2 linked regions of the Mytilus edulis genome follow. The main gene of each other region encodes a partner of the protein of the gene in region 2 in a complex. Links are inferred from orthologs where the notes say so. Each region holds a gene or a part of one and is shown on either strand. Other genes may lie near its edges.

Region 1 (7,392 bases), on a different chromosome or scaffold from region 2:
TTTTATCATTCAAACTGATTTAATTTGAAAACGAGTGCATGGACCCCTATTTTTTAAAATGACATTTTTTTTGTTTCACTTTGCAGGGAAATTATGTATGTGGACCAAATTTTATAAAACTGTAAATAGTGCAATTTTTAAAATTTTGATAATTATACAGCAAAAAATTACATTTTTTTCTCAATTCTTGACCATTTGATAAATTATAATTATTTCTGAATAAAAAATGCATAAATTTTCATGATATTTATAAAATGCAGAAATTACAAACTATTTAACAAACAACAAATTGTGTTTATCTTTTAAAACAAAAAAGTTATGTCTTTAAGGAAAAATACGGCCACAAATCTGAGTTTTGAGCAAATATATAAAATTTCAACATCATTTAACTCAAAAAGTAGCACATGAAGGTATATTTTTTATTACATATTTGATTCAATCAGGCAAAAAATAGCCTATATGGAAATTTTCATCAAACTTTAAATATGGGATCAAAACTGTATCGTATGCCCTTAACTAATAATCTTCTAGCTTAAAGCATCAATTTTACAGAGTACATCCTTAAGGAGGCTCGAGGATACAAAAATCTCAGCAAAATTTTAAACATTTTTTTTTTCCATACAAATTTTATTTATTACTTTATTTGTTTTTACTTTATCATATGGTTCAAACATCAACCATAAAAATCAATTCGTTTTGGCCCCAGATGACTTTTAAAATGCATATATCATTGAAAAAGCTCCAAATTATCTTCCTTTGGTGCAAAAATGCCATCTTTTAGTATTAAAATTGAAATATCTTTTTTAACTCATCTGTGACCTATATTTTTTTGATTAATTTCTTGGATTAGGCTGTACTTAAACGAAACTATTGTAACATTTCAGTGATTTCTGTAATTTAGTTCTTTTTTTATTCAGATATATTTCTCTTATTAGTTCAACAGAAAAAAAAGTACCTTTACGAAAATGTATGCAGATTGTGAGCTTAAATGAACGGTGCCCCCAATTTTTTATTTTATTTTTCTATTAAGTATACTATAAAGTTTATTTATATAGAAAAATGTTTCAACCAGTTGAGCATTCTGCATGATTGTTGGTTTAATGCTGCTAAAACTTATCTGCAAAACGACCTTAGAATTGCGTATAATTTTTCGATAATTAGTGATACTAATGAAAAGGACTCAAAGTTTTCCCTCTTACTGCTTCTAACTTTCTCATGATTAAACAACATCTTGCGTAATGTCTTCATTGTTTTTTATTTAGTTTTTCAGTGAAGAAAAAACACATCTATAACTACTTGTATCCCCGAGGAACCAGTAATGACGCACCTAACGTTGTGTTTGTCTCTGCATTTAATCTACCATTTAAAAGAAAAAGAAACACGGAATAGAATGAAAGATTGATCACTTGTTAATGTATTTCAATCATTAAACAGTTGATTTTTGAAACAGTAAAAGCAATAAAAATCATGTTTGCTAACATTACAAACGGACTGTCAACTTATGATGGGTACCAGTAATGACGCACTATAAACAAACCAGTAAAAACCACTTGCAGTGTACCTGATGTTCGAAAAATTGCTTCAATCCGGATAATTTAAAGTTAACACTATTCAACAAATTTAATTTTAATAACAAATTTTGACATTTACAGTCACTTTTATGATCATGTTGATAGCAACACAATTTTTTTCATTAATTTAATTGTAACCTATATTTTATTTCAAATTTTATATAAAATTGTTCAAAATTTATCAAAGTGACATATATATTCCATATACTTGAAAATAAGAAGTAATTGCATTCATAAAACAACATTGACATTAAAACATTTATCAATGTATACTTCGTACAATGAATGAAAAAAATCGATAAACAATAGAAAATTATATAAGCGACGATCATTTGTTCTACAGTGATTCCCGCTTAAATGTAAAACCATGTCACATGACAGTCATATGATTTGAAAAACACAAACTGGGGCAGCATGTGCATACATACTTTTGCCGGCCAAAGTGGATTTAGGACTGATAATCATTCTGGGAAGGGTAGACTGTTTTTGACCTTAATAAAATGGCAGAAATTGCATTATCTTTACTAATTCAAGCAATAATAACATTTCTGGACAGAGTTTGAGGCATCTATGTTGTAGTCATATGACCTTCACCATCATGTTATGAATAGTAATTATCGATGACGTCACATCTTTTGTTTAGAAATATAAAACCCAAAACTAAATTGGTGCGTCATTTCTGGTCCGCGTCAAAACAGGTACCAAGACGATATATCAGAGATACAGCTCCATCTTTTAATAATGCTAGCAAGAAATTGGTTTGGTTGACTTTTTAATCAACAAAGATTTGTATAGGTACTAGTGACTTCTTAAAATTAACCAATCGAAAAGAAAACTAATCAAAACAACAGTCTAAGTCATAGAATGTTGAGAAAACCCTAAAAATAATTAGAAATAGAAAGATCATTTATACATTTTTTGAATAGTTTTAATATATTCATATCAAATATAATTGGATGCCGAATTGACTTTAAATAGGTGCCGATTTGAATAGATGCCGATTTAACCAGGTGCTGATTCTTTTTCTGTGGGTCCCGAATAATTTTGATCGGGTGCCGATTTGACTTGTACCCGTAATGCCTGCCTCATATTACCTGCCTCAAATTATTTAAAAATATACTGAAAAATAAACTGGTTTGATCTTTGGAAATTTATGCTAACTACAGCTTACTTGGGTATACGATTAAATTGCATTATTTTGTTTCAATTATCTAAATTGTTTTAAAACTTTCCTGAAACCATGGACGCTGACATTTTGAAAATGCTAAAACCCAGAGTGCATAAATTTTTTCTTGACTCTCTAATTAACGCAATTATATTTTATATTCATGTTTTATAAGAAGGAAAAATCAAACCAGAAAAATATGGAAACATTAACATGTTTTAAATAAACGTACAAAAATTACGTTTTCTAGAATGTGTAATTGGAAAATGTTCCTGTTATTGATTAGTTCTCATTGACCCCAAGGGTGAAGGTTAACCGGTCTATTATGTAAACAGTAAATGTTGCATAATTAAAATAACGTTTATTACACGATTAAACGTTCATTGACACCTAAATGTTGGCATGAGGCCTTATTTGTAGAAGGAAAAATAAAAAGTTTAAACATTTAACAAATGTCAAAAGAGAGGTAAGGAACGAATCATAGTAAAATGTCAGTTGACTGTGTAAAAGTTGATATGGAAGGTAGGCATACTTCATTACTGAATTTGTTTTACAGCACCAGTTAATATAAAAAAAATGGTAGGATAGTCCAAATAATTTTGACTCTGGCAAGGCTTTTTTTTTCTGGGACGCCTTCCGATGACGTCATAACGCTAAACCATTTTTATACGACCACAAAAATTTTAATTTTTCGTCGTATATTGCTATCACGTTGGCGTCATCGTCTTTGTCGTCGTCGTCCGAATACTTTTAGTTTTCGCACTCTAACTTTAGTAAAAGTCTTATAAAGCTGCGCCCTGCGGAGCATCTGGTTTACCTCTGGACTTAGAGAGCAAATTTGGGGGAACTTTGCCACAGGTGCTTGAGGACAGGATCCTGTATGAGCCCGATATAGTCCCTCCCCCTTATTATCATAAATCTCAGATTTTTCGATATATATCACTTATTTGTACCATATATATATACTAATATACCATATTTATACTTTAAATATATATATGTATGTTTACTATCAACGTGAATCTCGACTATCGCTCTATAGTCGAGATTCACGTTGATAGTAAACATGCATCATACGCTTTCGGGACGATCTCATAATTATTTGGACTAGGGGTAGGAATGCCCTTTACACAAGGTTGGCAAAAAAGCGGTCAATACTAGTATTGACCATGCCAGTGGTAAATACCGGTATTTACCGGGAAATACTGGCAAATACTGGGAAATACCGGCAAATACTGGTCGATTGAAATTTTGAGTGGACATTACTATAAAAACCACTATCTACTTGGTCAATTATAATTACAATTAATAATTAATTTATATAGAAAGTGTTCAAACCATTTTTAATGCTTTCATTTCTAATTCTATTGTTAATTCAAACAGGTATCTACATTGATTAATGTGTACATAATATTATAGTAAAAGATAAAAACTTTTTGTTCATGCTTCAAATTTTCATTTCCAGCATGAAGAAGGTTTTTTTTTTTTATCTCACAGTTAGATAGCTATAAACAGGAAATAATTTATTGTTTAAGGGAGTCTTCATATATCAATTTTATTACTTTCAACCCATGTACTGTCAACTTTTATTGGAGGCTGTTGTTTTAGTAATTAAATTTTCACACCTAGCAATGCCAGGTGATAGCTATAGGTAAAAAGACCCATGTAACTTCATTTACCTGTAGTTTTATTTACCTTTAATTTTAATTACCTGTAAAATCATACATTTTGAATAAAAATATATTGATTTAAACATGTTGAAATAAAATATAAATTTGTATATATATATATCTTAATTATATAAGTATGCAATATCATAATTCTTAAAAACTTAATTTTAAATCAGTAGTAAGAATAAGTGTTATAAATGAATAAAACATATCAAATTCATTACCTTTATAAGCTGACACATTATATTTGACTTTTTATCAAGATTTTACTTCATTTAATAGTAGAAACAACCATGAAAATTTCAATTGACCAGTATTTGCCAGTATTGACCACTTGGGGAGTATTGTCCAGGGCGGTAAATACCGGTAAATACCACTGGTAAATACCGGGGGTGGTATTTACCGCCCAACAAAGGCTTTACTGTCAGGCATTGACTTCAAGGGCATCGAACGATCATTTTTTCGGCTACCGCTAGCATCAAATTGATTAATATTGGATTTGTCAGAGGTCTCAAACATGTCAAATAATTATCGTTACTGCTATTTGTGGGGAAAAAATAACACGATTCTACAAAATCAGTCAATTTTTTCTTGTCTAAAAGAAAGTGTACATTTTATTATCATCTACCAAAAATTAACGTTAACTTCATTTGGCAAGATATTTTACTGTTATTTGTCATGAAGAAATACAAATGCCTGTGAAATGCCATGTCTGGAAAAAAATTACTGTGAAATAAACAGTTACACACATACTTTATAGATCAAATGAAAGGACTTAAATTGTTGGCACTGTCTGGATACATGCATGAAGTCATATATATTATGTATTTTTGAGATTATTTACAATGACCATGACAACACATCATATGAACAAATTAAACATGCTAATTGATAATAAATTGTCAAAATTAGGTCATGTACTGACACTTAGCCTTGACTTTTATATTGATATCCACATTTTAGTATATTGGGCATTTGTCATAGACTCATGCTTGTTTTGCAAGTCTTTATAAACTATCTTTTATGTTGTAGGTGCTGAAAAGATGACGAGTAAAAAGAGGGTTCTTATTGTTGGAGCTGGGGCTGCGGGAACTGCAGCTGCTTACAGTTTATCAAAACATCCAGAGAAATTCCAAGTAGAAGTCTGGGAAAAACTATCAGTACCTGGAGGCGTTGCCTGTTCTAGCGATATTAAAGGAGATGCCTTTGTTAATTATGGGGTTCAAGGAGGTACACCATCATACAGAAATACTTTGATAATGATGAAGGAGTTTGGATTTAAGACATCACCAGTACATATGATGATATCTTTTGGTAAAGGGAAGACTCATTGGACAAACTATGCAAAGTCACCCCTGACGGAAAAGCTGAAAAATGAAATCAAACGTTTCGAAGATGTCTTGAAGAAGATCAACAGATTTGAATTCTTTTATATTTTTGTTCCAATGTACAAAGTATTAAAATGGAATGGATTTTCTGAAGATTTCGCAAATGAAATGGTATTTCCACTCACTGCTCTTTTCTTTGGAACAGGAAATCGTACTCCATATGTGTCGGCGGCAATCATGGCTAGAGTATTTTTAGATGAAGACCTACGATTATTTGATTATGACTCAGAACTTCTGTTAAGTCAATCCCCAGAAATGTTTGCCTTTCCAAAGCTAGAACAAATGTATGAAACCATCTTAAGAAAAAGTGGTGTGAAAATCTGTTTGAATCGACCAATAACTTCTGTTAAGAGATATGGGACCCATGTCACTGTGATTGACCAAGATGGGAAAACTGCTACATTCGATGAAATCCTGTTTGCATGTGATGCAGAAACAGTTCTCAAATTGTTGGAAAACCCAACCTTCTTTGAAAGAAAAGCGCTTGGCAATGTGAAATATTATAATGATTTAATTCTAACGCATGAAGATGATAATTACATGAACAAACATTATGAGGTAAACAAAAACAAAGATCAATACTTTGTCAGAACTGATCCGACAGACCCAGCCAAAATAGAAATGTCTTTCAATCTATCCAACTACCAACCACAGCTGAAAAATTCCAACAGAAATATATACCAGACAATATACTTAGACGATAATTTGAGAGAGAAATACTGGACTGTAGATGAAGTGAAGAAGGATAAAGTCTTACTTGAGACGTGGTGGAGACAGTTCTCTCATTCCTGGACTCATTTTGCATTCACTGTCCCCTTGATGAGATATCTCCAAGGGAAGAAACATACATGGTTTTGTGGTGCTTACACGCTGATTAATACTCACGAGATTGCAATGATCTCTGGTCTTGCTGCTGCTCATCGTTTAGGAGCACCATATCCATTTCATCATGATCCATTAGCTGCCAAACAGTTTGATCAGTATCTATTAACCATACACGGCAAACCAAGGAACTTTGGGTGTAACAAAATGACACTATTGAGTTGTATCCTAGCTCCATTGATGGCCCTTTTTGCACTTTTTTCCCTCTTATTGAGGTTTTGTTTCATTAGAAAGTCATAGCTTCTTAATGAGAAGATATTGTAATAGTCTATATTATAGTTTAAAATGTATAGTACAGACAGTTGTATGAACATTTACACAAGTGTGCTATACATGTATACAAAAATTAGCATATATTTATACATGTCATCTAGTACTAGTTGTACTACACAAGTGAAGCTGAACATGTACAAATGTATGTTTGTGTTGTGTAAATACACTTCCTATAATAATATATTGCATTGCCTTCTTCAATCAAAACCTAATAAATAATTGGTACTCAAATTGGTTACAGCAACAATAATTAATAAGTTTTTTTCTGTATTTCAATATTTTTTAAAATTCTTAAAGTTTTTGTTTTTTTTGTAAATGTTTATTAATAAATTAATACAATAATCATTTGACATTTCTGTATCATAGTGTATGATAGTTTCAAGGTGTATGGATTCTGTTTAAAGAAATTGTTCTAAGTTAAACTTTAAAAGATTTTTCTGTAC
Region 2 (7,124 bases):
CTATTCGTCAACAACAATGCAAGAATTAAAAAATATGACTATTTAGTGCAAACTATACATCTTTTTTTTATCCAAAAAATGTTACCATACATTGGCACTTTAAATTACCCGCCCTTTACCATTCACTCAATATTTACAAAAACAATACAAGACAAATTGGGAGCAAATAGAAAAAGATCTCACTGAAACATACAAAGAACTTAAACAAGATCAAGATAAATTAAATCTTGATGAACTTTGGAACACGTTCAAAACCAACATCCAAAAGTCTATTACCAAGAATATTCCAACAAAAAGCATTGGTAACAAATCGAAACTACCTTGGGTAAATTACCAACTTAAAAAGCTCATCAACAAGAAAAACAAATTATACAAAAAGAAAAAGAAAAATCCTAAGTATAAAAAACAATACCAAGAGATAAAAACCAAGCTCCAGAAAGAAATGAGAAACTCGTACTGGCAATACATAGAAAACATGATTTTCGATATTGAAATAAAGGAGCCAGATCAAACATGCTTCAATAATACGCCTAAAAAACTGTACACCTACATTAAAAGCCAGAAAAACGAAAACACTGGCATAGCTCCTCTACGAAGTGAAGGTACACTGCACTCAAGTCCATCTGAGAAAGCAAATATACTTAACAAACAATTTCAGTCTGCTTTTACATCTGAGGCAAACACTAACATTCCAGACAAAGGTCCTAGTAAACACCCTATAATGGAACCCATTAGAATATCTAGGGATGGTGTTTACAAACTAATCAAAAACATAAACCCGAATAAAGCAACTGGTCCTGACACCATCGCAGGCAAAGTACTAAAACAAAACATCGAAATATGTACAGATATCCTCACTTTAATATTTACAAGATCACTACAAACAGGCAAAGTACCATCTGACTGGAACCACGCAAATGTCACACCTGTATTCAAAAAAGGGGATAAACACAACACAGGCAACTATAGGCCTATATCCTTAACATGCATAGCTTGTAAACTACTCGAACATATCTTTGCAAGCAGCATGATGAACCACTTAGAAACAAACAACACTCTATATGAATTACAACATGGATTTAGGGCAAAACGATCATGTGAATCACAAATCATCTCACTGATACATGAATTATTCCAAAACAACGACAAGAACATACAAACAGATCTTATTATCATGGATTTTGCTAAAGCTTTCGACAAGGTACCACACAAAAGATTACTATACAAAATGAAATACTTTGGCATATCAGATCAAATCATTAACTGGGTAGACTCCTTTCTTTCAAACAGAACACAAACAGTACTTTTAGAAAACATGTCATCTTCAAAAATACCAGTCTCATCAGGAGTCCCACAGGGTACAGTGCTAGGACCGATACTATTCTTAATTTACATAAATGACCTCCCAGATTACATCCAACATAGCAAAATCAGACTCTTTGCAGATGACAGTATAATCTACCGACAAATTAAAACTCAAAACGACTGCCTCAAGCTTCAAGAAGACCTACATGTAGAAGCTGCCATACAATGGGAAAAAGATTGGCTTATGTCTTTCCATCCAGACAAGTGTAACATCATGAATATAACAACAAAAAGAAATCCCATCCACTTTTATTATAACATGTATGGACACATCTTAGAACCTGTAAAACATGCAAAATACTTAGGCATCACCATCTCAGCAGACCTAAAATGGAACACCCACATCCAACAAACTGCTGCAAAAGCAAATAAATCCTTAGGTTTCATCAGAAGAAACCTTAAAGTCCAATCGCAAACAATTAAAGAAAGAGCATACCAAACACTCATAAGACCAAAGTTGGAATACTGTTGTACTGTATGGGACCCATTTACAAACGAAAATATAAAATCACTGGAAAAAGTACAAAGACGGGCAGCAAGGTATGTGTGCAATAGACATCACAACACCAGCAGTGTGTCTGAGATGCTAGATACCATGAAATGGCAAACATTACAAGAACGCCGACTACGAACAAGGCTTATAATGTTCCACAAAATTGTAAATGAAAAGATAGCCATTCCATCGCAAAATGTATTACAACAGAGTCAGTCTACTACAAGATCCACCAATAAAGAATCCTACAGACAAATTCATTGCAATAAAGACAGCTATAAATTTTCTTTCTTCTGTCAAACCATCAAAGACTGGAACAAACTAACACCTGAAATTACCAAAAACAGTACTACAGAAAACTTCAAGGATGCACTCACACACGACGTGCTCCTTGATACTTACCCTCATCTGAAATAAACAGATACTCTTGTTTTTATCTTATACCAAAAAACTAAAAATAAAAAATGTAATATTTAAAAACTAAATAAAAAAATTGTATAAATTAAAAACAAAGAAAAATTGTAAAAATTGAAAATACGAAAATATATGACCAAAAACAACTTTGAATAAGAAATATTTTGTTAATTTATATTTTGAGAAAAATTATCAACATAAATTTATTAAAAAACATTTACCAGGCATGCGCCGGAAAGTAAACATCAGTACGTTGATGGTTTTCTGTAACAAAAGAAGAAAGAAGAGTAAGCTCCCTTTCACCACATGTGAGCACATTTTCATATTTTTTTTTCAGTGGGAACTTCAAATATAAATCACAACTTTTTGTCAAAAAATCAATTCGTGTTCGGTTTTCATCAAAAATAAATATTAAGAAGATGGTTGAATGTTCCGAGACGTTGTTTCTACAAACTGTGTTTTATATAAACTGATTTTAGTCGAAACCACCGAAATCAAACGCAAAGGCCCAACCTCGTCGGCCTCGTGTCTATGCTGGACACAAGCCCGGCAAAAACACTCAAACACTAACGCTACAGTTTATATTGACTGAATGCATAGTCAATAATTCAAAATTATATGTATTTTTATAACCTACAGGCTTTAAACTGGCTGACATTCGGGTAAATAGAGGAACTCCTCCTCCTGTTGTCAAACATAAAATGTAGGTCGCCATTTCGATGTAAGTTTAACATACGCATGCGCTTACTTACCACAACTTTAGAATGATGGGTAAATAGCATGGCGATGAAGAAGCTGTAAACAGCATCTGTCAAATTTTCGGTTCAGTATATGGTAAGTTTTACTTGATGACAACAGGCACACTTAATGACAGGTAAGTCATGTTTCATGTTAGGTTCGTCCCTGGTAATGTAAAGGAATTTTATCGATCAGGATCTTCATTATTGCTTGTTTATTGGAGCACGTGCCCGCAACGCCAATCTGCCGTTACTCATTGTTTTCACTGTATTGGCCACACGACTTGTAATCTTTTGACCCAAGCTGTTACAAATGTTTTCACACATTATGTAATTTGTTTATACAGCAATTACAGTAGTTTTTATTAATGACAGTTTGTGTTGATAAACAATATTATACTTTTATTGAGAGACAAAGAAATTACGCGCCGTTTATTATTAGTCATCAGTGTGTATACTATATTTACTCAGTTCAATAACAAAGAAATTTAAGCCGAAGTATCGATCGATTTTCTCTCAATTAATAGGTCCTTCACAAAAGCAGTGCCAACAAAATTTAATTTAACAACTTCATCTTACTTTGGTTCAAAGTATTTTCAAAGTCAATTGAATTTTCACGAAGATAACCATTTATTGACAAAAGTAATTAGACATTCAGAAAGTTATTTGTGTATTGCTTAGCTATGATATTGGTTCAGAATGACAAAGATGTGACTTAATGTTTCTTTGTGTTTCTTCATTAGTCATTCTCCTTAATTTATTCATGGAAAACTTCCAAATGGACCAATTCTTAACCATAAAATGTATTACATCCGTTTAAAAACACATTGGTTATTCTCATGATTGATTTAATTTTGATACAGAATTCTAATAAAAGATTGAAAAGAAATATTCAGTTGACAATTTCTAATGTCACATCAAGGCACTCAATGTCAAACTTATATGACTTTTAGATTGAATGATTTATTTAGCTTTAAAAGATTAAAAGAAAAGTGATATAACAATTTTTGTTTAGATTATTAACAAGTTGGGATCCCTGACACAAGTTTTATATTATTGTTTATAAACATGAACTATTTGAAATACTTTTAAACAACTGAAGTCCTTGTTAAACACCGTTTAGAACCTATATCTTCTCTGTTCTACTGGAGGCTGTAAAATATCCAAAATACAGCAATTTTAAGAAACTAATTTTATAGATCTTATAGCTTTATTATATTATTGTAAATAAAATGTATGAAAATCATTATTAGCATGATTAGGAAATATGTCATTTAATTTTAAAGCTACAAAACATAATTTTTTTTCAAACAAAAAAAATGAAAATTCAATTCAATTTAAATTTGGTTCAAATGATATGATTGTTAAATTAATTCCTCTGTCTATTTCATTAGGTTATAAGAAGAGTAACTGAAGTCAATAGTAAAGAACATCAAGTGAAACAGCTCGCATCAAAAAGGCAGCATCAAAGTTTTTGTACTTCTAAAGGTAAGTGAAAAAGTGAAAAAGATAATATATTTAACTTTGAAACTTCTTTTTTTTTCACAACTATTTTAAAAATTTGGAAACCATGCTGATCACATTGATTAAATTTGTTAGATTAGTGTCAACATGATTATAGTTCTTTTGAAATATACAATTATACCATTGTAAAGTATGCATAAACTGTGTCTTTGAAATGAGACAATATATTTTGTTGTACATGTATATATAATAAAGATGTGGGCAAGACATAAAATATTGTTAAGTATAAGTTTTTAGACAACAATAATTGAAAATCAAATAAAACAATACAAGGATCATTGATCAGATGGAGTGATATTGAACCAGCTTTTCCTTCTTATAAAGGAAAGCTAACTGTCATGAGTTTTTTAATAGATCATTTTTTAGATTCCTTTGAATTATTGGAATAAGAGGACTTTCCAGTCCAAGAGTATGACTTATCAAGATGATGTTGACAGGAGTTTGTATTGTTTAAAAATTTGTGTGATGCATGCATACATGTAGCTACTGTTTATTTTAACTTGCAGTTGATGAGTGGTCATTTGGTAATACTTGTGTATTCACATATTTGGAATACACTAGATAACAATTTTAAATACATACTACATATAACAAACATGTAAGTTATGTCAGAGTTAAAGTAGCTAAATATGAGAAGATCTGGTATGAGTGCCAATGAGACAACTCTCCATCCAAGTTAACATGTGTTCCTGCAAGTTATCTCAGATCCCAGTTACTTTTAACATGTGTTCCAGTAAGTTAAATGTCAGATCCCAGTTACTTTTAACATGTTTTCCAGTAAGTTAAAGGTCAGATCCCAATAACTGTTAACATGTGTTCCAGCAAGTTTAATGTCAGATCCCAGTAACTTTTAGCATGTGTTCCAGCAAGTTAAATGTCAGATCCCAGTTACTTTTAACATGTGTTCCTGTAAGTTATGTCAGATCCCAGTAACTTTTAACATGTGTTCCAGCAAGTTAAATGTCAGATCCCAGTAACTTAACATGTGTTACTGCAAGTTATGTCAGACCCCAGTTACTGTTAACGTGTGATCCTGCAAGTTAAATATCAGATCCCAGTAACCAAATATGTGTTCCTGCAAGATCTCATGTCAGAAGATAGTAACTGTTAACATATGTTTCTTCAAGATCTCATGTCAAATCCTAGTATCTGCTAACATGTCTTCCTGGAAGATTTGGAAAATTAAAATGGATAAGGCCCAGATGTCTGCAAAAATAATGCATTACACATCACTACATGTCTAAGGAACATCACTTGTATTACAAGTAATTAAGGAACTGATACCTTATGTAAGATCATCATAAACATTTGTTTTAGAGACCCTGACAATAAAATTCAGGCTTATATATAGCATTGCAAAAAATAGAACAGCATATATATAATCTCTGTCATTGTTAGGAACTTTGACTACATATATGATACAAATTATGGAAGATTTTTGTTTTCATTTTTAAGTACTTAAATAATTTAAATTCTAGATTCAAATGAATTTGTCAAAATATTAATTTATTTTGTAAAATAAATAAATTTTATTTTATTTTATGACAAATATACATAAATTTATAAAATATGCATGAAGTTCAAATAATGGTCATATAAATGATTCACAAAAATATCATGAATCATTTATTTCATTGATAGTGAATTTTTCCATTATTTTATAAGAAATAAAATATTATAGCTATAATTGAGAAACTAGAACAGATGGGAGCTGCAACTGTGGTCTTTTTTATTGATATACCCCAAAAAGTAATTAGAATTTTACACTCAAGTATAATATCCACTAGCTTTTGTTATGGTGTATAAAATATGTCATATATTATTGTTCAAAATGAAATGTTCTGAATTAATAAAACATAAATTAGAATTTTTCAATAGTGTTTATGTGTGTATAGATGATGAGATGTTTGCTTTACTAAATGTTGACCTGCAGTGGTCAGTGTTTAAGGGTAGGACACCCCGGTCAGAGGGTCAGTCTTTATAGTTGTTACAGTGGCAGGTGCCCCATCCTATCCAATCAATAAAAGGAAACTGTATTTAATTGTAATAAAATGGGTGTATGTCTATATCTCAAAGCCATGTTATTTCAAAACTTGATTTATTCTGATTCCTTTGTGTCAAGTCTTTCAGCCACATAATTAGTCTTGCATAAATCGTTGGAGCGTAAATGTTTGATTACAAGCCTTATGTATAATCAGATGAGAAATAATATAGAAACCCTGACAGATTTGTGATAAGTTTTTGATGTCTTTGTTTAATTACATTTATCCAGAGTACAGCATTTAGAAATAGGTGTCCAGATGGCCTGGTACGTGACAATGTATCTCTGTCCTCCTGAAGTTTCCATGGAGTTTCCAGCATGGAAAGTCTATATTTGTAATGATGATGCTGTATTATAAAGTGGCAGATTCTATTCACAGACTTTTATCATAATTGATAAATATGGATGTGGAAATTTGAAAAGGCTACAGGCATGTTAAAATACAACATGCTTGCTATAGTAATTATTACTTCAAAATATCCAACCTCATTAATTTTTTTCTGTTTATCTTAAAATGAAAAAAATGAGAGGGAAATTCCTATTTATATTT

What was found.
Region 1: the proteins of protein fuzzy homolog (region 2) and ciliogenesis and planar polarity effector 2-like are in contact, whole or in part, in a cryo-EM structure (PDB 7Q3E), measured with the Mus musculus proteins. The link is inferred for Mytilus edulis from reciprocal best matches to the Homo sapiens genes FUZ and CPLANE2. Residues at the interface, in NP_081652.2 of Mus musculus: Arg26, Arg35, Ile109, Val110, Lys126, Glu127, Arg129, Ala130, Tyr132, Cys133, Asp136, Gln215, Ala216, Ala217, Arg218, Asp219, Tyr220, Pro221, Tyr223, Pro232, Leu238, Thr239, Leu240, Leu241, Arg242, Pro255, Leu256, Gly257, Gln258, Pro261; in NP_001074643.1 of Mus musculus: Glu36, Gly38, Leu39, Leu40, Glu41, Arg42, Val83, His84, His85, Glu86, Thr88, Gly89, Ile90, Gln91, Thr92, Thr93, Val94, Lys124, Phe125, Met128, Glu134.

The regions. Positions count from the first base shown.
Region 1 is NC_092356.1:43,878,155-43,885,546, reverse strand, and holds the start of ciliogenesis and planar polarity effector 2-like, read right to left. Parts: upstream 3,021-7,392; 5' UTR 2,969-3,020; intron 2,843-2,968; exon of another isoform or gene 2,743-2,842; intron 1-2,742. Other genes in the region: uncharacterized protein, read left to right, coding at 3,225-3,258, 5,439-6,916. UniProt on the Homo sapiens protein: Required for efficient primary cilia initiation, regulating a late step in cilia initiation. Plays a role in the final maturation of the mother centriole and ciliary vesicle that allows extension of the ciliary axoneme.
Region 2 is NC_092350.1:12,395,322-12,402,445, reverse strand, and holds the start of protein fuzzy homolog, read right to left. Parts: upstream 3,018-7,124; 5' UTR 2,988-3,017; coding exon 2,910-2,987; intron 1-2,909. UniProt on the Homo sapiens protein: Probable planar cell polarity effector involved in cilium biogenesis. May regulate protein and membrane transport to the cilium.